Linked DNA regions of Bombyx mori. The protein of the gene in region 1 interacts with the protein of each later gene in a pairwise test. Links are inferred from orthologs where the notes say so. Each region holds a gene or a part of one and is shown on either strand. Other genes may lie near its edges. The genes, in order: DRK, protein son of sevenless and ferritin precursor.

The links.
Region 2: the proteins of DRK (region 1) and protein son of sevenless interact in a two-hybrid assay, tested with the Caenorhabditis elegans proteins (3 studies listed by BioGRID). The link is inferred for Bombyx mori from reciprocal best matches to the Caenorhabditis elegans genes sem-5 and sos-1.
Region 3: the proteins of DRK (region 1) and ferritin precursor interact in a two-hybrid assay, tested with the Caenorhabditis elegans proteins (3 studies listed by BioGRID). The link is inferred for Bombyx mori from reciprocal best matches to the Caenorhabditis elegans genes sem-5 and ftn-2.

The regions. Positions count from the first base shown.
Region 1 is NC_085123.1:5,827,874-5,836,611, reverse strand, and holds the start of DRK (DRK protein), read left to right. Parts: upstream 1-3,126; coding exon 3,127-3,204; intron 3,205-3,282; coding exon 3,283-3,380; intron 3,381-4,763; coding exon 4,764-4,883; intron 4,884-8,738. Other genes in the region: RpSA (small ribosomal subunit protein uS2), read right to left, coding at 387-620, 807-905.
Region 2 is NC_085129.1:21,324,128-21,332,765, reverse strand, and holds part of protein son of sevenless, read left to right. Parts: intron 1-665; coding exon 666-785; intron 786-924; coding exon 925-1,012; intron 1,013-1,973; coding exon 1,974-2,057; intron 2,058-2,400; coding exon 2,401-2,506; intron 2,507-2,582; coding exon 2,583-2,633; intron 2,634-2,793; coding exon 2,794-2,908; intron 2,909-2,993; coding exon 2,994-3,078; intron 3,079-4,461; coding exon 4,462-4,534; intron 4,535-8,638. UniProt on the Caenorhabditis elegans protein: Promotes the exchange of Ras-bound GDP by GTP. May regulate signaling pathways downstream of receptor tyrosine kinase, egl-15 and let-23.
Region 3 is NC_085130.1:11,326,380-11,335,117, reverse strand, and holds the start of ferritin precursor, read left to right. Parts: upstream 1-4,509; 5' UTR 4,510-4,723; coding exon 4,724-4,790; intron 4,791-8,738. Other genes in the region: ferritin precursor, read right to left, coding at 525-627.

The DNA.
Region 1 (8,738 bases):
AAAACAGATCAATGTATTGAGAATTAAAATGTGTGCCTAACAGCTTGTACAGTACCTAATCTACTTTAAAAAGGTGGCAATTTACATATCACACAAAAAAAAAAAACGATAATTCACTCTAAAGGCAGCATCTGCCAAGTAACAACCTTACAAAACTACAAAGACCTTAATACATATGTTTTTCTATTTATTAATTTCTAGTTACTTTCAATGTGTCACATTATTTTTTAAGAAATAATTATAAAAATAAATGTATCAATATTATAATTTACTTAATATTCCCATTTGACTCATGAAAACCTAACATACTTGGGTTGTAGATGAAGTACACTCAATAAATAATTAAATGTCATTACATAGTAACAAATAGTTTAATGGTTTATTACCTGGTTAGTAAAAGCACCTGGTGTGAAACGTCCCGCAATAGGCGTAGCACCGGTGTGCGCGGCAAACTTCAGTACAGCACGCTGACCGAAGGGCCGTGATGAGATGACGAACACATCAGCGGGGTTCTCGATGGCTACGACAGCACGAGCAGCCAGAACAAGTTTTTCCCAGGTACGACGCAAGTTGATCACATGGGTACCATCAGCACGTCGTTTGTAGACATAGGTCTCCATCTGTTTTGCAACATTTTCTTCAAATACCACTCATTTAAAGCAGAGCTTATTATTAAGTAATTGAAGCTCAGTTGGGAGAATTAATCGTCATACAATAATCAGAATAAAATGGAACGGATTCTCTTATCATCATGGTTTTGTTAGGTTATGTTTATAACAGATTTGAATATTTTTGTATGTATTTACCTGGAAGTTAACATTTTCTGCCCCAAGATGGGTGGTTGCAGCAAGCATTTTGGTGACATCTTCCTCGTTGAGGGCGAGCACGTCTAATCCTCCCGACATCGTTGCGCTTATTTGAGTTACGACTAAACCTGAAAAATCACCACACGATTAATTGACAATGTTCGTATTCAGTGATCAAATACTGATAATTTACTCTTGTTTATTAAACATACATTTTGATCACACAACACATTAAAAGTTCTATTAAACGATGTAAAAACAATTTTTCGATTTATTACTTACGCGTATAATGCCACTGGGAGGCGAAATGGACTTAAAGAAGTGTCAAATATGTCAATGAAAACTAGTTGTCAAAGTTGTCCTTGGACTAGAATTCAAACAAGCAAAGAAAATAAAGCTTATACTATACACAAAAATCGAAGCCATACCTCTTCAGCAAAAACTAAAGAATTTTGTCTAAATTAGCTTTCCTTCAGATTATGAATAATAATATCATGGATTTTCAAAGGTTATCGTTTAATTGAAATTAATTAATTTGTCGTCTGAATTCTTATTGTAATGTCCATAAAGTTTGATAGTAATAATACACAAAAAAGAAGAGAGGTTGAGGAGGTTAAAAGATAAAATACAACGTGTACGTTTGACGTGTTATGTATCCCAGATAAACGAATTTTTGAAATTATACTTCAATAAATAAAATAATAGTTTACTATTTTAACTTAGTTTTATTTTTACTTTAACGGAAAATAAGTAGAAATGACTTAGCTTGCGATTTTTTGTTTCCCAAATTATGTACATAGTTATCTTTTAAAATCAATTTATTTTAAAGAATGTCAGCTGCGTAATATAACGTTATTATATTTTTAATCAAACTTTTCTAATTTTATTATACATTTTTTTGGTTTTATGTATTTATTTGCTTTCAAATTAAGAAAGGAGAATTAGCAAAATTGTATTTTTGTAAGCAGATTTTTTATTATGAATTTTTCAAAATTAATTTTGCAGTTGTAAATAAAATTAAGTACATGCTATTGCCCTTATTTTTTTGGATAGCAATAAACTGTTTCTGTTTGGCAAAAATATGTTACAATTTACTGATTATAGTCCTCCATTTAAGTGGTAATTATTTCACGTATCGGAACTTTTGTATCATATTAAACTTGATGCCGGCTAGAAAGGCAAAGGCAGTTATTACTAGAATCCAATTGCTAGTTTGAACCTCATGTCATAATTTGGCATTCATGTTTTGATGTCTATGAGCTTCGGTAACCACATCAAACTAGGCGGGCTTTGATCTCGCTCACGCGTTCAAGCAAATAAATAGCAAAAATAAACACAACAGTAACGAAATGTAAAATAGTGATTATTTGTAAGATAATATCGATGAAGTTAAAGAATATTTCATCACAACCACAATATTTAAAAAAAATATGGTGCGTGTACAACTTGGTGCACGTGAAAAAAGGGAAACTTCTTTTGTGGTGTGTAGTATTGTGGTTTTCTTCATTTTTCATCTTTAAATCAAATTTCCCCATTAATAAGGAATGCTATATATAAGATAAACTATCTAGCTCACTTTGTCCTTTCCCTCTCTCCACGGTCGAGTGGTTCATGAGACGCTCTGTCTATTTTCTCACTCTCGGTCTTCCTTAATGAGAAATATGTATATGCTGAAAGTGAAAAAAAATTAGCCAAGTTACCATTCAGGCAATATCATTTTGTGGTCTTTAATGGCAAGTCGTCCTTCGTCCATAGTCGTCCTTCTAGTCTACATTCTGCTGAAAAGTTTAAATTTAGACCTAAGTTTTGATGGCAATTCGTCTCTTAAACTTAGTTGGGGCGTCTGAATCTAAATCTTTTAGTCAATTTCAATATTTTCATAATGAATTAGGTTTTTAAATTCATCTACATGTTTTACGAATCCTTATAGTAGACGATTCTTATAAGTGAGATCCAATTCAAATGTAGAATGAATTTGTTTTTAGTCTTTACAGGTAAAGTTGATGTTATGTTCCTTGCCAGTATCAAAAACACACATGAATGCAAGTAAATTTTCGAGCTAAAAACACAGCTGCAAAGTGGCAACATTTTGATTTTTTTGTCAATTTGTAAAGTGAGTGATGTGTTGAGTACAGACGGATTCCGATTGGGTTTTTCTAAATTTGTAACTAAAACGCATCTTTTTTATTCAACATTGTGAGACAATACGTGCATTATGATTATTTTACTTCCTTGACATTAGACATTTTGGAAAGTTTGTGTACTTTAAGAGTTATTTTTAAGAATTCGGTGACATTTCAGTGAAGTGCCTAATTTGATCATGGAGGCTCTAGCAAAACACGATTTTACTGCAACCGCAGATGATGAGCTCAGTTTTAGAAAAAATCAAGTATTAAAAGTAAGTTAAATATTTATTTAACTTTTTGTTTTGTTTAATACCTAGCGATAGTTCTTTCTAGAATGGTTCCTATTGCAGATTCTAAACATGGAGGACGATATGAACTGGTACAGAGCTGAATTAGACGGGAAAGAAGGGCTCATTCCTAGTAATTACATACAAATGAAAAATCACAGGTAAGTGGGATATCTAATATTTCTAGTCTTAAAATTATAACTGATACTTATAACGATTTTAAAATATTCTTAATTAAAATAACCAGTTTATTTTTGACTTAGGTTTTATTTGTGAAAGCAAGAAGATATTGCTCTTGTGTAGCTATGTAGAGATCTCAGATAAAATTTAGAAAAAGAATGTTTTCATTTCATTCCAAACATTTGCTGAAGAAAACTGATAATGTAAACATTGTTTGTTTATAATTAAACTTGGGCTGGTCTACTCATTTTTATTTACATTTAACTACTATGGTATCCGGAGAGTGTTGCCAAACCTAATCTACAAAGTCATTTCATTATTCTTTAGAAGAAGAACATACAAAATGAATGTTATTTATAGATACACAACAGAAATTTCATGTAACTTACCAGCTGCCACTAAACTAATCAACAAATGTTTGTTTACATTACCAATTGTAATAATAAAAGCCAAAGTGTCTTTAAACATATGAAGTGTATTTTGAAAGGAGAAAACAATATTTGATTTCAAAGTAAATTATAAATTTGGTGTATTTTTTATTACACAATTAAGAATTACGAAAAGTGCTTTTTTTATTTGAGTACTAAACTTTATTTCATGATTCTCAATGAGAAAAGATTTGAATAGATAGAAGGTAGTTATTAAACATATATTAAAGAGAATGGTCTCTTCAACTAGAATCTGATTATACATCAGAAATAAACCTGTTGATTTTGTAAGTGCTAATGCTTTGCCAAGCAATAAAATTAATGTGAAGGCTATGCCTGAAGTGATACAAATGCTCCTTTAATTCATAGTGTTGAGTAGTACTATAATATGAATGCAGAACATACTACCATGACCACCTAATTTGAGATGTGAGATGCAGTATCAATTGCATTGTGATAATAACTGTCCTAAGGTTCAAACCTAAAGGCACAATTGCTGCAAGACAAATATGGTATACAGAGACACACATACAGTGTATGCTTACAGCATACCTGACCACCAAAAACTACTATTAGTAATAATAGTAATAAAAATTCTAAATATTTGTAGAACATTTACTTATTTTTTGTTTATACCTTACTGGTGTATTGTGTGGTGTATATTGTATCAGCTAGACTGGAAGAGAAATCTAAGCACATCCAGTGCATCGACTTAATGAATTGGATGTCAGAATGAGGTCACAAACCACCTTGTGTCAAGTAGTTACAGGAGCTTATAGATATTACGGTGTAAATTCTCACTATCCACCAGTTTTAAGGATTAAAAACTGTCTTGGGACATATTAAAAAAAAACCATAATTTTTAAGTAATTATTAATTTGAAAATAGTAAGTATTTGTATTTTAAAGGTGTGCCTACATAACCTCTCTTTTTCAGTTGGTATTATGGGCGTATTACAAGAGCAGATGCAGAAAAACTCTTAGCAAACAAACCTGAAGGTGGCTTCTTGATAAGGATCAGCGAATCAAGCCCTGGCGACTTCTCCTTATCAGTCAAGTAAGTCCTTTGTATTTTTACATGTAATGTTTATTATTTTTCACAGTAATAATAATCATTATTTATTATTTCTCTTTTAAAGTTATAGTACAAATACAAATAGAGATTAACCTTACAATTTATTTTGTTAGCCTTTGAAAGAACTGCAGTCTGTACTAGGTTCAAAGACCTGTATTACTGATCTCCAGGCTCCCTGCTTCTTAGGATAGATTAGGCTAGGTTAAGTCATGAACAGATGTCGCAGACTAAGTGTTGAGAGATCATTAGGTGTTATCATTTAAGTAGATATCAGTAGTTATCATTCCAACAGAAGACCGTTCATTATTATTATTTAAATAAACAATTTTATCTGGATGGAATGTTTTCTGTATGTTTGCATGTAAATAACTTAGTGTTTCTCTAAATGTTTTATCAATAGAGTCTATTAGTAATAAAATAAAAAGCTCCCTTATGTAATACTTATAAAACTAATATTGTATGTATATAGTATATTACAGCTTATAACTAAGGGAAAATTGTCTTTGTCTTAACAGAAAAATACATTATAGCAATGCTATCTAAAAATATATATTGGAATCACAATAACATTTACATTTTAAGTTCAGGTGAATGACCAGCATTTGCATCCACGGGTCACTGCAGTATAAATAAAGTAAATGAAGAGTAAAAAGAACCATCTATAGTCTTATGCAATTTAACATTGAAAAACCATTATAAGATAAATGTATTTAGGACGTCAGAAAATGTAATGTGTAAATAAATACTTTGTAAATGTAGTTTTAACCATGTGTGCGAATTCTAAAACTGAGTGAATATTAAAACATTTTATCTATTCATGGAAGGTTGGTCATAAGATAGATAGAGAACTTGATAAATTCAGAATTTTTCTTATCTCAATAATAAGAAAAATACACCATCTGAAATACGTACAAATAAATACATTCCATCCTTATCAAATTTTCTAGAATGACTAAACTTTATTTCCTTCTACAGTCAACAATAAAGAAAAAAAACAAACTATGACAAATACAATACTACTCATTTTACTTGTAAAGCTGTAAAATTTACCTCATATTCATCATGTGAACTAGTTCTGTTGAGTTTCTGTAGGCTTCTGTAATCACTTAACACCAGATGGGCCGTGAATCTGTTCACCCATCTGTTCAGCTAAAATAAATTGTTGTTGTAATAAATAATTGTTTTAAAATTATGTCACAGATCCATTTGGATAGACGGCTCTTTCTGTGTTTGTACTGTGTGTGCTATGGAGATGGATATTTATTGTTTATTTGCATGGACGAACTCACAGCCCTCCTAGAGTTAAGTGGTTACCAGAGCCCATAGACATCTACAACGTAAATGCCCCCCCACTCACCTCGAGACAAGAGTTTCTAAGGTCTCAAGTACAGTTACAACGGCTGCCCCACCCTTCAAACCGAAACGCCTCGCTGCTTCACGGCAGAAATTGGTGGGGTGGTGGTATCTACCCGCGCGGGCTCACAAGGGGTTGTACCACCAGTAATTACGCAAATTATAATTTTGCGGGTTTGATTTTTATTACACGATGTTATTCCTTCACCGTGGAAGTCAATCGTGAACATTTGTTGAGTACGTATTTCATTAGAAAACTTGGTACCCGCCTGAGATTCGAACACCGGTGCATCGGTCAACACGAATGCACCGGACGTCTTATCTTTTAGGCCACGACGACTGATAAAATGCTCCTGGCATTGCTGACATCCATGAGTGACGATCTACCTATAAAGTATAAAGTAAATACAATAGCATGTAATCGTTTACAAGTCGCAAATTTCTAAACTCGGCTTTTATATTAATGGAAACTAATTTCGAAAGTAAAAAATCTACGCTAAGTTACGAATTCCTACTTATCTACTACAGCAATGAAAACATTGCAATTTTTCAGGCAGTTTGCCTTTACATCACATTATCTATATATTAATACGTGAAGCAAAAATTTTGTATCCCTTTTTACGAAAATTGCGCTGACGGAGGAGACTGAAATTATCCACACTTATAGAGAATATAGAGAAGAAGTGCACAATGCTAATATTTTTTAAAACTAATGCATAAAAGATACATTAAATCAATAAAGAAAACATTACACACACCACATACCATGTATTTGACGCACACACGCATGCATACTATATTGTCAAACTTTTGTTCTTGACGTCTTTGGTCAAATTTTTTTATTTTTTTTTATTGCTTTTTGATGGATGGACGAGCTCACAGGCCACCTGGTGTTAAGTGGTTACTGGAGCCCATAGACATCTACAACGTAAATGCGCCACCCACCTCGAGATATAAGTTCTAAGATCTCAGTATAGTTACAACGGCTACCCCACCCCTCGAACCGAAACGCATTGCTGCTTCACGGCGGAAATAGGCGGGGTGGTGGTACCTACCCGTGCGGACTCCCAAGAGGTCCTACCACCAGTGATTACGCAAATTATAATTTTGCGGGTTTGATTTTTATTACACGATGTTATTCCTTCACCGTGGAAGTCAATCGTGAACATTTGTTGAGTACGTATTTCATTAGAAAAATTGGTACCCGCCTGCGGGATTCGAACACCGGTGCATCGCTACATACGAATGCACCGGACGTCTTATCCTTTAGGCCACAACGACTTCAAAATTCAAATTGAGAATAGATTAAATATTGTTTGTCTTTATTAATATTTTTTTATAGTGTAGCCTTGGCGAAGTTTATGATTATAGTATGTGTACAAACTTACAATTCCAGTTAATTATAGTCGAATTTCGACTACTGTGGGACCTCTAGTTCCTTTAAATATATGATCACTATTAATTAACGTATATTAATATCTATTCACAAGATGTCATTTTTGAGTAAATTTTGGAGATAAATGTCAAATTTTCAGGCACTATCTACTATCATTTTGTTTGAAACTTACATGTTTTATAAACTTTATTCAATGTTCATTTTATGTTTTTGTATTTGGCCTTACTATACTTAGTCCACGTAAAATGTGTAGTAGTTGCCGAACAAAATTGCTATTAAATGCAGACAGACATGACGAAATAATAAAAGCCACGTTTTTTTTGCCAATTGGCTGCCAAAAAAGTTGTTTCTAATAATGATCAGTGTATCTTCTGATCAAATGGATACATAAATATTTCCAAACAAGTAGTATTAAGAATAATTTTGCACACCTGTATCGGTGGCGGTACATACCGTTTACAATTTCACACCCACGATACGTTATTGCATCAACACGTGCTGAAGCTGCCTCGAAATTGTTTAGATTTCGTCTGGAAATTTAGTTTAGAGAACTGAATCAATCCATGTATTTAGTCTATTATTGTACATCAGTTTATACATCAGCGCAGGACCGGTCTTTGTGGCGAGGCTTGGGGAGGCCTATGTCCATCAGTGGACGTCCATGGGCTGATAAGAAGAAGTTTAATCCTTACTGAAAAAGAACTTGTAATTTCTTTTGTCGAACTTTTCTCATGCAATATTGCAATAAATATTTCTAAGAAATACGAAATTGATTCATGTCCACGCTGTTAATATCTTAGTCATATTTTTACACAATATGTAATTTGTGTTAACTATGTAACAATCAATCAATATGTCAGTGTATTTGCTCTTGATACGCAGGCGGGTCCACTCAGGGTTAAGTGATTATCGGAGTCCACATGACATCATAAAGCTAATTCTGTCAAGTTGAGACATGAAGCATGTAAGTCCCACTTTTCGAACAAAGCAAAAGCACACACGGTAGGTAGGTCAGCGGTAGGCAGCGGCTTGGCTCTGCCCCTGGCATTGCTGAAGTCCATGGGAGACGGTAACCACTCACCATCAGG
Region 2 (8,638 bases), on another chromosome or scaffold:
GCTTGTCCACCCATCAAGCAATAAAAAAAAAATTGATATAATATGTATAATCGAGGAGCATAGAATATAAAAAAACGGTGCGCGTGAATAAATGAAACTTCTTTTGCGATGTGTACTATTGTGGTTTTGTTCATTTTTCATCCTTAAATCAGATTGCTCTTGTAATAGGGAATGCGGTGTATAAGAGATGCGACATCTTCAACATTAACATTACATATATTTTAATTTATAGACAGAAAAATAAATATATGTACTTTTTTAAATAGTTCATTAAGATATTGGGCGCTACTGGTTGCTAACGCGCGCGCTGGCCTGCACCAGGTGCATACACGAGGCGCGCACTCACTCTCGCTCCGTCTCTTTCTATTCCCCCCCTCCCCAGGAGCGTTGAACGTTTAACGCAGCCTTCTAATGCGACTTCCAACAGGAAGTCGCATTAGAAGTTTCACTTCAAAAACACAATTTTAAAGAAATAACAATTTTTTTTTCGAAATAACTAGACTTCTTTGAAGACGAATAAAAGATTGATTTTTTTTCTTCAGAATTTAACTTTAATAAAAAAATCATGGCCAGATTTACTTAGTTACTTGTGTATTGTATCTTACATAAATTAGGAAGTAAGTAATAAGTAAATTACAAATTCTAGTCTGGTTTTCTTTTCACAGGCATTCCTGGAGTCGCTGGACCCGTTTCCCGGGAAAGACGACATCGAGATCACAAATTATCTGTACAACAAAAGTCTGGAAATAGAGCCCCGGCCGCCGGTCAAACAGATGCCGAAGTATGTAAGTGCCGCCCCCCTCGCCCCGCGCAGCACCCCCGCACGCCGTGACGTCACTACTACCTGATCAATGCTCTCAGTTCAGTAATTAGTATTGAGTTTGGTTAGCGCGAGGCGAGGCGTGTAACTCGGTCTGATTGCAGCCCAGGAAGTACCCGGACCTGTCGCTGAAGCAGGTGAAGGCCAGCCGGAGGAACCAGCACGACCACTCCACCTGCGACGACAACCTCAGTGAGTCCGCGTACAAGTGACCTGACCCACAATTCTTCATATTGATGAAACCTATTCTATCCCTGGTTCCGCCCGTAGACAACAGATGGCGCTGTTCACATTATTTGGCGCGTATCGCTTTTACCTGCGAAGCAGTGTAAAAGTAAATTCGAACCGCGTTATCTTCATACTAACTGTGGTAAGCTTATACCACTTTTGCGCTGACGATCTCAACGGTACTGCTGCCACCCGAGTGGTCATATCGTCGCCAGACTTGTAAACCTCAACTAACAGTCCAACGGGTACCCCACCCTTCAAACCAGATTGCATTATTGCTTCGTGGTAGGAATAGGGTGAAACCACCGGTGGGGGCCCACAAGATCCTCCATCACCAGTGAAAACAATTGGACATAATATTTTTTTTTATGGATTTTATTACCTGGTAACTAAGACCTTTAAGTAATGTCTTATTTTAATTTATATTCTTATTTTTATGAAAAATGATAATACAGAGTGAAATGAAATGAAATTAAGATGATTAATTTGAGACATTAATGTCCGGGATGGAATTAAATGAAATGAGATGATATGGGATGAAATATAATCTCAGTAAAATGGTGGTCATTTACTGAATTTTTTTTTGTGGACTTTTTGGGGGATCCCGAAAATCTACGTCCAGCGGCTTTGTTTCATTTTTCAACATTTGTGCACTTTCACAGATATTAAACACCGTTATTACACATTTAAACCTTAAGAAATACCTAATAGATAAAATAAAACAAATCACACAACTTCACTCCTCGCGTTCCCGCCAAAAAGTCGATTGGACATGACTGTCAGTGTCACTTTGACATGTCAGCCGGCACCCCCGAGTCCAACAATTGTATCACTTACACAACAATTGTGTTACTTATCTCCGCGGCTTGCGTGAGCGATCGTGAGTACTAGCAATAAAACTGACCGTGACCATCCCCCCCTACAGGCGTGTCGCAGCTGTCCCCCACGGGCAGCTCGTGGGACGGCGCGTCGGTGGCGTCGCTGCCCATGCACCACGACGACCACAGAGGTTAGTGCTCGCACACGTTGTACGTCTTACACTAGCCTTGTCCTATGAGCACTCGTGATTACTTGTAAGTGTGCCACGCACATTTCATTAAGGACAATAGACTATAATGTTAACACTCGTTCATATCAAAATAATATTAAGTGTTGAGCCTTCATGAGCACTGACTTAGGTTGGAGCTCACAGATAGTTTTTAAAGCGTCGCCCCCGCAGCCCCCTAGTGGCGCGGTCGACTGAATAGATAGATGTGACCGGGAGAGGGTCGCACACTTCTTTGTTTTAGTGAACTATTAATTATAATTGTTTCTGCGTTTCGTTGAGTCTAACCTTGCGGCGCGTGTCGCAGGCGGCAGGGCGGAGGCCGGCAGCCCCAAGGCCGACGCGCGCTCGCTCAGCCAGCTCAGCCTCTTCGACAAGAAGCTCAGTCTGTTCGACAAGGGCAGGAGCCACAGGTGAGAACCCCCCCGCCCCTGCCCCGCGGCTCACGAGTGATTACTCATGACTAATGAAACTGAATTGTTTGCACAGGAACAGCGAGCCGCCCTCCCCCAGGGACAAGCACTCCCCCAGGCACGACCGGTGAGTGGACCTCGCATTGTGCGTTTCACTAGAGTATTTTTAGCTGTGAGCATTCATGAATGTTCATGAGCATCAATTAATTTTGAATTAAAATGAAGACATTGACTCGCATAAAATGACAACACGCACACACTAGCAACCGTCCCCGCGTTGTCCGCAGGCCGGCGCCCGTCGAGAGAAAACCACAGAACTTATCGCCGCGGAACCCCATCGTCGACGCCGACTCCTTCTACACGAGCCGACACAGCCTCGAGCTCGGCGCCAGGAAGCACGAGGTGAGCGTCGCCCCGCCCCCAAACCCCCGCCCCCAACGCCCCGCCCCGCCCCCGCCCCGCGCTAACCGCACCGTGTGTCCCGCAGAGTAAAGAGGAGAGCGTGCCCCCCCTTCTGCCGCGACACAGCGAGCCACCCCCAGCCCCGCCGCGCCGGATAGACACCCACCATGGTAAGTTGCGCTGTTTTTATCCGATAGTCGGTCGTGAGCGTTCATGAGTATTCGTGGTGTTGTGTATAATGCGTTTCAAATAAGAATACACATGGACCTGCGCCATATTGTGACTTCATAGCCGTCAAATCGAAAAGAATAGGTAAAGTCAGTAAAAAAGTTAGAAATTTTTAAATATCAATTTATAATCCAAATCTTAGAGTTCACCGATTCCACTCATCCCATTGCTTGAGTAATCATCATCATCGTCGCCCATCCATAGATTATATGGCCCGATAGTGTTATAGACTTGATTTTTAAATAGGTGGTGTTTTTTTGAAGTTATACTTCTTTAGGCGCGTTATGAAAAATTTGATGAGAGTGCAATTTTACGACACGCGCGCACCGTGACACAAAATTAACAGAATGAAGTTGCCTACTAAATCGCTCATTACAATACGACCGACGTAACTTGGCGAGTCTGAATATAGCCGCAGGTGAACTTACGCGCATGTACACTCGTAAAAAATGCTACCAACAAAACAGAAATGGAACCTCTGTTAGTGGCGCATGTTGGCACGCACGCCGCCTCTGTTCACTGCGTATTTATGTTTATAATATTTATCCACTTGCTCTGAGTTTCTACATTTAAAACACGTGTTTTCATTTTGTTTTCATTATACAAGTGCGAATTTTATATGTGCGTCTGAATTATAATCAGAAGTGATTTAAATTGAATATTTAAATCAATACTAATTAATATTAGAAAATATTTGTAATTTTGTGTGTAATTAATATTAGAAAACTGTGCTCGTCAACCTTCCTAAGTGCTCCAATACAATTGAGGTTAACTATCCGTATGTATTATTTAGTAATATAAATGACAAAGTTATTATTTAATATAATTCATACTAAATATTATTAAATTATTAACGTTAAATATTTATTATTAATTATTTAATATTAAAAAAAAAGAAATAAATTTAATAAAAATAAAGTATAACTTCTTACGCGCGTACATAAGTACACGCACCCTTTTTTTATATAATCTAAATTAATGTTTAATTAACCTCGACCAGCACTCAAGATATCAAGAAAATTATAGAGGTGTGTATGTTTCATTAAAACAAACATATTAATAGCTTTCATAATTAGACAAAATATTCACTAAAAATAGATTTTTTTTTTTTTGCTGTCCTTACTTTTTTATCGAACTTCAACAGATCAAGGTCACTGACGTGCAAATTCTTATTCGAAACGCTCTATATACGTCATTAGCGAACTTCTAAAAATTTATATATATGAAAAATCTGAGCTATTAATTATACAATTTGATTATGAGCCATGCCCGCCCCCGCCCCCGCCCCCGCCCCCGTGTTGACACTAACCCAACTGTCGGTGCAGCGGCGCCGGGCGAGCAGCCGCCGGAGCCCCCGGACCGGCCGCAGCCCAGCCCCCAGCACTGCGAGCTCCTCAGGTGAGTGCGCGCGACTCCTCCACAGGACCCCTGTTCGACTTGAGGCAAAGGGCGAGTTTTCATTTCATCTCATCCCGTTCCACTCAATTTCATCCCAATCGATTAAAGACTCCAATAAATGAACTGCATCTCATTTATGTATTTTATAGTTAATGATTTTTATAAACTCTACACTGGCAACAATGGCGTTGAAAGCCAATACTTAAATAAAGACGAAAACGTGGTTCCCAAGCGTTAGATTAATGAGCCACCATCTTTTTCAATAAAACCAGGTCTTATTGCGTTAAGTCGATCTAGCCTCGAGGACAATGCAGCGTCCATACTGGTAGTAGGACCTGTTGTGAGTCCGCGCGGGTAGGTACCTCCGCCGGCCCATTTTTACCGTGAAGCAGTAATGCGTTTCGGTTTGAATATCTCAAGGTGGGTGGCGCATTTACGTCGTAGATGTCAATGGGCTCCAGTAACCACATAAAACCAGGTGGGCTGTGAGCTCGTCCACCCATCTCCTCCCTCCGTGCGTCGTATTCCTCAGTTCTGAGGGTCGTGACCTTTACTGAGCACTTTTGTTAGGGCTGTGAGGTTTCGTGATGTTGAGGGTTTACTGTGCGCTCTCCTCCGGAAACCTCATCAGAGTGATCAATAAAATACTGAGTATAATTGTATGTTTATTCGCGTCAGCGACCGCGGTGGATCGCTGCACGTTAACCACTGACTGACTAAAGTATGCTACTCATTACTATATGCACAATAACTGCATAGTAAGCTAAGCGGGGCGGGGTATCATTCCCCTACAGGACTATGTTCCTCCATTCACTTCTGTCCTCCGCGCAGTGGATAGCGACATTGATGTTGGATTCCAAAGTCGTCTTAATCTGATCGGACCAGCGCATGGGACTACGCCCCCTAGGCCTCTTTCCTTCCACTTTGCTGGTGATGAGAAGTCTTTCGACATTGTCACCCATCTAAGCAATAAAAAAAAAAGGTCGGTTCGTAGAATACATATATTGTTATCCTTAGGGGAATAAATTTATAAGATTTGTGAGAAAAAAAAGGCCTAATAACAAAAATAAATACATGTAGAGACGTCAGCTGAACGTAGACTCATTCCTCGGCTCACTGTGTCCGCAGCCGCCCGGTTCAGTTGACACCCCCGCCTGTGGCGCTAAGCTATCCGAGCCTCACTAACCGTCTCCATGGACCTCACCAAACTAGTCCAAAAGACAAACTGGACGCGTTTTTTTTATTTTATTTTTTCCTATGCTGGTAGCCTTGAGGTGAGCTCACGGGCCTCAAATCTAACGACGTTGCTAAAACTGGCCCTAGCAAGTGCTTCGCAGAATCTACCACCGGATCGGAAACACGACCCGGTAAGAAGATCCGGCGAGAAACTCAGTGGGCTGTGTCCCACTGATTTAGCCTACGAGCCCTAGCGACGGGCTTGACGAGAAAGATGATCAGTCCTTGAGGTACTTAAGAGCACCGTTAGTGGATCGGGATGATCTGAAATGACATGGTGGACGTGTGTTCGTTCATCACGACCATGGCACGCTCCCGTGTATCAGCTCTCAACGTCGTCAGAGCTCTCCCAGGCCTGGTGGCTTTTCAAAGCCCTCCGATAATCTCGTGGCGCAGTTACAACGTAACCCGACACTCGGCTGGTCTGTGAAAACGTCGAATCTATTTTCGTAATTGTCACGATAAGTAGCGATAATGGCATGACAAACCAGACTCTGATTGACGAGATATCGTGACCGTGTCAGCAATTACTTACCTAGTTCCTTCCAATAGGCCTTCGTAGGCGACTAGATGATTTACCCGAAATGTAGTTACCGCGAGAATTCCTTAAAAAGCCTCTGTCATATTATTGTCATATCCTAGTGACGTGCTCGAGGCCTCTTCACTGAAGTGCCCCGTGTATATGTATCAAGGATCCTGCACCGTTTACTGGTGGTAGGTTGTATTGAATCCACGCGGATGTGCACAACCGTCCTGCCTATTTGCACAGTGAAGCAGCCTCGTGTTAGCGGCGGGGCATTGTTCACGCCAAATAATAAGCGAGCAAATCGGCGTGCGTTTATTAGTATACAATTCGATAAGGTTTTTATCAAAGTAACACAATACAGTTGCGAACGAATGGGATGTGTCGGCAGAGTTACTCTCGACCTTTCGCAGACCCACAGCGACGCGGAGAGGTAACGTGCCTACTCATTATTTTATTGCGAACGCTTTACTGATTGGTTGGTACGGAAGGAGCTTGCGGCCCACAGACATCACTACGTGTTCGCCGCCCGCACCTTGAGACGTAAGGTCGAAGGTAGGCGACGGAAACAGGCAGGACGGTTGCATCTGCTCGAGTGAGGTCACAGCACCACACCACCAGTGTAGAGTACCGATTATGTTCTAATTTTCAATGATTGTTCTTAATTTGCATCGAAGATGTTGAGTGTACCAGTGGCTCCAGCACTCGCCGCCATCTCTCACCACATTCACTCTTGCACCAAAGATCTCGTAACGATTAAACGACTAGATGTGTCTCACGGTTTCACCCGCGCTTCATTTGTAATTCAAAATGAAACTTGTTGCTTTTCTCTGGGGTAATATATAGTATATTGAGTTGCTTCTCACTCTCCCGTCCATAAACGACCAGTTTTTTTTTTTTTTTTTTTTTTTATGATTGAAGGATTACTGGTGGCCCGGAGGCCTTTCCAGTTTCACCAGGACAGGTGGGCGAGCAAAGGCTCAGCCAGGAGGGGTGGGATTTGCTAACAGCTACCCGAGCGCCTCCGAAGGAGACCTAACAATTCAAGAGCAGCTGCTTCGCGAATGAATCTACTACCGGATCGGAATCGCGACCCGCTGAGAAGATCCGGCGAGAAACTCAGCGAGCTGATTCATGGGTTAGGTTGCACGGCGAACTCTTTGTCGAGTTCGACGAGTACGGTTACCGAGGTCCCTAAGCCTGCTCCTAGAGCTGAAGGCGTCTAGTGCGAAGGTTATTGGATCTGATGGATCCGTAAGGACGTGTCTAGGGCGTCGACGGTGACTGGCTCCTGCATGATCAGGATTCGGGGAGTAGTCAGCGGCGGCTACGATAAGGCGATTATCATGACGCATAGCCTTATCGAAGTACCGTTCCGACGCTGACTTCATGTATTTCTGTATAGATTCGAGGCCCAGGTCGTCGTGTAGGTCAACGTTCCTCACGAACCACGGAGCTCCGACGGCTAACCTGCAAAAGCGGGATTGTAGAGATTGAAGGGTGTCTATGTGCGTGCGGGCCGCGTGAGCGAACACCACACTCGCGTAAGTCATGACGGGCCTTATGCAAGTTTTGTAAAGTGTCACCTTGTTCCGAAGGGACATTTTACTCCGCTTACAAATCATGGGGTAGAGTCTACCGAGAATAAACGCGGCACGGTCACGGACTGATTTTATATGCGGGCGGAATGTCATCGATGCATCCAGGGTAACGCCCAGGTACTTGACCTTCCTGGCCCAGGGTATGGATTGACTAAAGAGAGTAATCGGGGGTGTGAGATTCCTCCTCCTAATACGGGAGGAAATCCGTGCGGAGCTTCCCCTCTGAAAGAGCACCGCAGTACTTTTCGCTGGGTTGATGTCTATGCGCCATTTTCGGAACCACTGTCCTAGGGCTAGGGCTGCGCTCTGAAGCTTCTTCGCGATTAGGGACTTGTTTCTACTGGAATAGTAAACAGTCGTGTCGTCGGCGAATAAAGCTAAATGGGTCGGCGGCGACCGGGGAATATCGTTAACGAATAAGCTAAATAGGAGGGGTGAGAGGACAGAGCCTTGCGGGACTCCAGCTGTGAGAGGTCGTGGGGAGGAGCGGGTTCCCTCGACTCGATATCGAAAAGAGCGGTTCGACAAGAAGTCCCGTATGATGAGCACGAGACTATCCGGCACACCCATGTTGAATAGTTTGAAAATCAAACCGTTGTGCCAGACTTTGTCGAACGCTTTTGCGACGTCGAAGAAGAGAGCTCCCGTGTATAACGGTTTTGGTCGATTAAGCCCCACAAGAATGTGCTCCGTGAGGCGGTGCACCTGTTGAACGCATGAGTGATTTGTACGGAATCCGAATTG
Region 3 (8,738 bases), on another chromosome or scaffold:
CGGAGCCCATAGACACTAACAAAATCAAGGTCTCAACCAGGAGGGAAGGTTTGCTAAGAGCTACACGCTACGCTACAAGCTACACGACGTAAAAGGTCACTTAAGTCATGGATCACACAAATGTCACACAATGCCCCTGCATTAACGAGAACAAACAAACTTAAGTCTTGCTTCGTTGGTAACAAAAAGTAAGATTTATACATACATATAGATATATATACATATACATTATGATATCTTTCCATTCGAATCTAAAAAGATAAGACATTGGAAGCGTATCTTTAATCTCTTTAGATAAGGGGACAAAGATTTATACGTCAATGTCCCAGACATTGAGGAATAAAAAATAAAAAAAAATGGTCGTTAAACCAACACTCATAGACAACAATGTCTTCGAGAGTAAATTCAAACACGTGGAAGTAAAAAAATATTTTTTTTGTTCAACAAAGAGTTTCATGATCAGCAATCATCTATGTATACCTAAGTTGGCCAGTAATATATTTGTTCTAGTCTTGTTTACTCACTTAAAGTCCGTCTGCATCCTTGGTCGACGTTCTGATAGCATGAGTCTTCCTCGGCCAGCACACCCAGAGCCAGACAGGCAACGATGAGAGCATACACCTTCATATTTGATGCTGGAATAGACAAGACTAACATTAAATTAAAATAAGAAATATTTTAGGACAAAAACTCCCAGCTAATCAGTTTTACGCTGAAGGTGCTATTCCGTATTCTCCAAGACGAGTGGCTGAGCTCACGGAGCTCAGTAGGAGAGGAATTATGAATATGGCAACAAGCAGCACACAATATAGCTAAATATTTGTCTTTCTGATATTACTGTAGCAACCCTGAAGGTTTAATAAATATTGGATTTATATCCAGAAAGAATGGATAATCCTGAAACACCTCATAGTAGAGCTACTGGAGTCTCAAAATAAAAAATTAAAAAAATATTTCTTAGGTATATAGTACCCAAATTAAAAATAAAGAAAAAATACCAAATTTTATGATTAAAATTTAAGTTCAGATTAACTTTTATATAAAATTACACTAGCTACTCATAGGATTTCCTGCATATAGTCCATGTAGAATATTAAAACACCAAAAAGTCCATGAATTTCATTTATTTGTAGCTGTCGTATATACCAGAAACGCACAGCAGTATAGAAAATAGCAACTTTAAAATAAAAGGCGCAATTTGAATACTACCTGAGTTTTTTATTTTATTTGATGTCATAATAGTTCGGCTATGAGGTGTTTCAGGATTATCCATTCTTTCTGGGACATCCTGTATAATGGTTGTTTTAACGATTTTTGTCATTGCACAAACAAGGAAAAGATTTTATTTTAAGGGATTCCCAATCCAATAAAATTAGAAGTCGTCGTGGCCTAACAGATAAGACGTCCGGTGCACTCGTGTTGAGCGATGCACCGATGTTCGAATCTCAGGCGGGTACCAATTTTTCTAATGAAATACGTACTCAACAAATGTTCACGATTGACTTCCACGGTGAAGGAATAACATTGTGTAATAAAAATCAAACCCGCAAAATTATAATTTGCATAATTACTGGTGGTAGGATCTCTTGTGAGTCCGCGCGGGTGGGTACCACCGCCCTGCCTATTTCTGCCGTGAAGCAGTAATGCGTTTCGGTTTGAAGGGTGGGGCAGCCGTTGTAACTATACCGAGACCTTAGAACTTATATCTCAAGGTGGGTGGCGCATTTACATTGTGGATGTCTATGAGCTCCAGTAACCACTTAACACCAGGTGGGCTGTGAGCTCGTCCACCCAACTAAGCAATAAAAAATTTTTTTTTTTTTATCAAGATTCGATCAGTAATTTTTGAGTTATCCATAATAACACATGTACATATAATTGACTTCTACTAAACTGATTGCATTCTCTTTTTCTTGGCATAAAAACGGTTTCCTTTTTTTATTATAAATTTGTATAATTTATTCCAACAAGTGATCTATTACACACAAAATGTTGAAGTACAGAGTACCATAGATATTTATAATGATTCTGTTTATTTTGGGCTCAACAATTAAAGGGTGTTAGATAGTGTAAAACAAAGAACTACATCTTAGATAGTAAAAACATAATCACAAATTCTAAATGTCAATATGTAGTAGATTTTATAGAAATCCGATAATTAAAAATCAAGTTAGGGAAATGGCAGACAAACAAGCAAATACCACAAAACATACTACAGTGTGTTTTTATCTTTATCTTTTACAATTATTATCTTTAATAGCTCATTAATCACAGTAGACTCGGATTAAATCACAGTATTACAAAGTATTATTGGTGTAATTTGTTATCTGTTGTAATCTCGCAATTAAAGATACCAAAAATTTATCAACTCATATTGGTTGGCCCGTATTGAACTATTTATCTTGTCATCAGAGTAATTGTGTTTTGATATGCAGAAGTGATTTTTATTTGTGGAAACAGTCGTTTGTACGACGTGTGTTTGTCGTGTGCCCCAGTAGGCAAAAGAGTGTTCCGCCCGCCTGGTGGTGAGTGGCTACAGTCGTTTTGGACATCACCAATGCCTACCAGCCCTACCACATAGATACTACTGTAATAAGCCTTTGTTGCAACCCCAATCATATAATGTATTTTTGAGTGACAGCAGTGTTATACAATACGGTTGAGGTTTCGACCTCACGTCTCAAATGACCCCTTAACACTAGGTACGTCGTGAGCTCATCTACGAATTTACATCTAAAAAGACAATTAAATGAGATTACATACATACTGCGTAGAGAGGTCCCTCACAGATTGAAACAAAGTTCTACTTAAGGGTCATGAGCGGTGGTGACCACTTACCATCAAGTGACTCAATGGCAAAAAAACGCTTCTTTCTAATAATCTTTATATTTGCGTTTTAATGCATTATCTACACTGTTGTAGTTATTGTATTTAATTAGAAGACATATTTAGTATTATAATAATATGTATTTAATAGGTACCCATTCAGTTCACGATTCGCTTTAATCAACTATACAAATCACAAAGTGTTAGTAACTATTTGTCAAACTACCCGGCGCCATATATTTGCGATAACTAAAAAAAAAAATCCTGGAAATTCTAAAGTTGAATTTTAAATCTATGGAACGTCTAAATGGCGAATAAAGACATAGGTAGGTACTCATAAACATTAGATACGTTTAACAAGTTTAATAGTATTAAAAAAAAACACCATCACTTGATTTTCACAAAATACCGAATAAAACATTGAAATCAAAATGTTCGACATTTGAATATGAAAGAACACCTACAAATTAAAATAATTGCTAGAATCTTATCGACTACGCTCTAGCTAATATAAGTTTAAAAAAATATATATACGTTTACGAATCATTAATATTGATTTACGATTTACGCACACGATCGAAAAGATTTATTTTTTGCTTGAAATAGGCATCAAACCTAGTAAAATTAAACGCCCAACACAAAACGTTAAAAACAAAATCATATCACAAAAAAAAATCGGTTCGTTCAGTTGCTGTTATAAAAATTAGGCTGCATGCGTAGTTTCTCGAATATTTTAAACTTTTTTTATTGATTAGCATCTAGGAAATAAACAAATACGAAACAAAAATAAGCGAACAAAAAAATTAAAAAATTCTCACCGATTTATTTAGTGGCGAATTCTCGAAAAAATAACAAGTGCGTTTGACGTATGTCGAAAGTACTGCCTTTACACACACTGGCGCAGAAGGCGACTTCCAACAATGACTCGTCTAGATGAAAACGTCCGCACAAAGACAACAGATTGTAATTTATTTTAATATTTTATCAGCGTTACGATTGACAGCGGGTTAGTCGCAAAATCGAACACAAAATAAATTAGTCATTCCTCGTGAAGCTAGTCGCAGTATACAGGGATGTCAAATTTAAAATTAAATCTCCCATGTGCCATGATAACCAACCTAGTTTATCGCTATCCCTTTCTACAGTAAAAAATGTAAATTCAAAAACAATACCTCTGTGTCCTTGACGCAGTAATATTTTTATGATATTGTTGGTTAAATTTCCTAAAATATAATTTTAAAAGGCCAGCAATTTAACTGTTAATGCCTTACTGAATTTTACAAATCTGCTCAAAAAAAAGGAACACTTTTAATGCTGGTATTAAAATCAATAAGTGGGAATCTCTCCATCTCGCTATTCTCGTTTTCCTTCCCCCTCGTCCGAAATGTTTTTTGTGACGTAACCTCGAATGTTGAGGTTTTGTGTTCCGAGAAATTTCTTTAATATCGATTTTTTTACAAATAGCTAACTTTAATGTTCGTTTTATTTCCTTTTTAAGCATAAGAATAAATAATTACGCATGAAAAATAATCGTAAACTTGATTTTTATGTTTTATTCACTTCAAAATCATAAAAATATTCCATTGTCAACCTTGGAACACGAAACCTCGTAGTCATGACTCTTTTCTTTGTTGTGCAATGTAGGTTATTTCCATCTCGCTCGCTCACATCACTCGCTGTCAACACGGGATGGCCGCCTTATCGCTGCGCAGTTCATTATTTAGTTCAATTCAAAGTGACATACGCGAATAGGACTTATTTATTTGAATTTCCTGCGAATTATAAGTCGCCTTCTGCGCCAGTGTGTGTAAAGGCTTGACTTATACAACTACTGCTTTCACGAGCGCATATTTTTTTGAGTATCGTCAAAGAATCTGTGATTATAAGAGAAATTAAGATGAGGGCTGTTTTCTTTGCTGTCCTCGGACTCGTTGCTGCCCTAGCTCCTGCCACAGCTACACAGTGTGAGTACCGAAACATATTCTTACCTATTCCTTCTGTTTTTTTCTAATTTATATGATTTTCCGATTGACTCCTTTGTCGGGTAGGTTATACGAGGTACAATAAAGTTCTAGGCGCTTCCAAAAATCGATATAAGCGTTTTTCTTCTGTAGTGTCCGAATTTTAATTAATGCTTTTAAAATTAATAATTAGTAGCATGCTTAAAAAATGAAATATATAATTATAGAAACGAAATTCATATACGCGCCGTGCTCAGAAACGAAAGGCAGTATGTGCCATTTTATTTATTTAATGATGATCAGGAAGTAATTCAATCAAGGCCTTCAATTCAAAATCAGATGTTGTTTTTATGTTGTTACAAAATCTAACATGGGACAGGAATAGGAATAGGAACTCATAAATGTCGGAAGAAATGGTGCTTGCTATCTCTTGAATCGTTTAAGAGATTTCGTTTTTGGAAAAAAAAACACCTAGCATATTAATTACCAGACAGTTGTGTTATTCGTGAATTGCTTATTTAATTGAATTTTGTTCAACGCGTACCGTCATTTGTTTTTCCAAGTCGCCATTTAGCCAATGTTGAAGTTTCTACATTAAGTTCGACTATGAAGTCGGAAGCGGTGCATGTATCAAATATCAATTCTGCCTGTTCACTCTAAGAGAGTGAGAGAGAGAGATAGAAAAAGAATACACTTTTTTTTTTCACACCAAAACATATCGAGGGATGTAAATCTATTTGGTTTAAGCGACATTTCACTTAAATACGCGCAATTTATTATTGTAATTAAAGGTGCGTTTTATTCCAAATAAAACGCACGAAAATTCAATTAAAAACATCGAACTGTTGATGTTAATACCAATATTAACATCAACAGTTCGATGTTTTTAATTGAATTTCAATTAAGCTATTTTTTTCTAATGATATGTATGAAATGTCGCTTACACGAAATTGCCTTTCACCTATCGTTTTAACATTGGAAAACATTCCACAGACAGATATACATAATTTTATATTAGGCGGTCTTATCGAGCGATCTCTTCCAGACAAGCGTTTTTATTTAGAGGAATTTTGAAAAGATACGGCGAGTTCGTTGCGGGTACAAAAAAAAAAGAATAATAATTAAAAAATTTATTTACTACATATAATAATAATATGAAGTAATTATATGACTTGCTTACCAATTTACTTTCGTTTATATAATAAATCGATAGTTTGCTTAAAGTTAGGTAGGCAGCGGCTTGGCTCTGCTCATGGCATTGCTGAAGTCCATGGGCGATGGTAACCACTCACCAGGTGGGCCGTATGCTCGTGTGTCTACAAAGGCAATAAAAAAAGTTAAATACATTTTTTTATCGAACACTAGCTGACCCGGCAAACTTCGTAGTGCCTCAATCGATAAATAAAAGACCTAAACTTTTGACCTTTGAAACTGAGACCTTAGAATTCATATTTCAAAGTAGGTGGCGGCATTTACGTTGTAGATGTCTATGGGCTCCGGTAACCCCTTAACATCAGTTGGGCTGTGAGTTCGTCCACCCAACAAAATCACAAAAACATAAAAAACAAAGCGTCGCGACAGATCTTGTAAACTGACCTCATGTCTCAAGGTGACGTTTACTTTGAGGTCCGACCGCTTACTATCAAAACCGCACGCGTCTCCGACCCGAAGATCGCACGCTTATGATCAGATGAGCTATCTGCTCGTCTAAATAGAACGAGGCGACGTGTTTAAATGTCTTAAGAAGTACTAGGCTGACATAAACGTAAGGAGCTCTCTTTGAATGCGCTTTAGTACTGTGAACCGCTTCGAACAGGCCCTACGCTACTTCGAACAGGCCCTAGGCTGAGACTACGCCCACTGAGTTTCTCGCCGGATCTTCTCAGTGGGTCGCGTTTCTGATCCGGTGGTAGATTCTGCGAAGCACGGCTCTCGCTAGAGCCAGTGTTAGCAACGCCTGGTTTGGGCCCCGAGAGCTCACCTACATGTTAGGCTTACGCGGACAAGAGCCTCTCAAGAATATCAGCTTAGGTAGGAAAAAAGTGAGTCCTCATGGGCAGGTGCCATATTCTACCGCGAATCAGTCTTAGGATTCAGTTGCCCAGAGATATTCTTTGAGGGTTTTGATCAATAAAACCAGTATCGGCCGTGAAATTGTAAACTGCAGTGTCAACAACATCTTAATCCCGTGACTGCCCTGTAGGTCACCGGTGCCCTACGCGGCGCACTGAAGTAATTACGTCGATTTCTGTTACTAAGGATTGCCTAGCATTGCCTTTATTTGTTTGTCAATGCACGTTTTAGTCTTTTAGAAATGGATTCGGTGTCAGTATTTTCGGATTCATCTTTCCCAGAGTCTACTAGATATTCCGGCGCCTTCTTTTTTTCTTTCTTTTTTCCCTACCTATTCGCTGGTGGCCTAAGAGGCTATTTCAGCTACGCAAGGACGGGTAGGTGAGCTCACGGGCTCAATCTGAGAAAATTTGCTAACACTAATCCTAGCAAGAGCAGTACTTCGCTGAATCTACCACCGGATCGAAATCGCGATCACGTAAACTGCAGAGTGTCGAAAACATCTTAAGCATGAATTCTAAGTAAACCCTATAAGTATACAAGATAAAAAAGATACCATCGGTATTCTTTGATAGTTTCTCTACCTGCCATACAAGGGCCTATTTTAAGGTCGGACGATAATACCCAATATGCGGATACAGAAAAAACAGATACAAAAGACGCTAGTAGCCGCCATTTTTCTTTTGTTGAGCCACGAAATGAATTGTAAACGCTATTATCGAAGGAATTTTTATACGATTTTCGTAAATGCTTTCTTGATATTTTGGCTGTTGCCAGCGCCATCATCACGGGTTGGGAAGACTGCCGATAGGATGCTAGGAGCAGACAAATCCAGAAAATACTGGTAGACTTTTTGGCGGCAATGCTTAGTGTAATGAATTTGTTAATGGGGGCTTATTACTCGTTTAACATCTATGGACGTCCATGAGTTTTGGGAATTCGAAATAAAATACTTAAAATTCCATTTTAATGTTTGTACCAGTTTGTACCACATATATGTTTGCTATTTATAACAAAAGATTTGGCCGTATGGACTACGTTCCCTTTCATATGTGTAATGGAGAAAAAAAAGTCGGTAGATTCGTGTTTCGAACAAAACACAGACAAAAAAGAAATCCGTTTTTTTTTTCTTAATTCCATATACTTTATTTGGGCAGACGGTACACGTTACAAAGAATCCTAAAAAAATGTATCCTAAGAAATGATTTGAGTGATCTGACTTGGAACAAAAAGAAAATGCGTACTGCAAAAGAATAATTACGCGGACTAGCTAAAAATAACTTGTAATTAATACGCGCGTTACGCGAATTAAAACTTTGCAGTTGTATAAATAAGTGCCATTATCTGATGCTGTTTGCATTTAATTCCCACAATACCTACTTACCGGCTAAATCTTATCAAAAGAAACGGTATAATTAACGTATTGAAAAAAATATATATATGGTAAAATATTATAAAGTAGCGTGGAAATAACATGTTTACCAAAACATTCATTTTACTATCATTTAAATGAATGATATAGATAGAGCGTAAACAAAAATTATAATTATTGCATGTATTGAATTGTATAAGAAAACCATATAAGTCTTAAATTTGCATTAAATACGTGCGCGACAAATAGATGAATAACTCAATAACTCAATATCACGCCAACCGATTTCGATGATTATTGTTTTTAGTGTATATTAATTTGTTTTGGAATAAAAAAAATTCTATTTAAAGTCTGTTTCTCTTAAAGCATGTCTATTTACAATTGTTAATAAGTCAATAATAACATTTAAGTATAAATAACAATTTAAAAGTTACTAGTGGTCGCCCAGTAGTCAAAATTCGGCTATAATTTTTTGTTTCAATTATAAGTTTGAACACTATTATGGT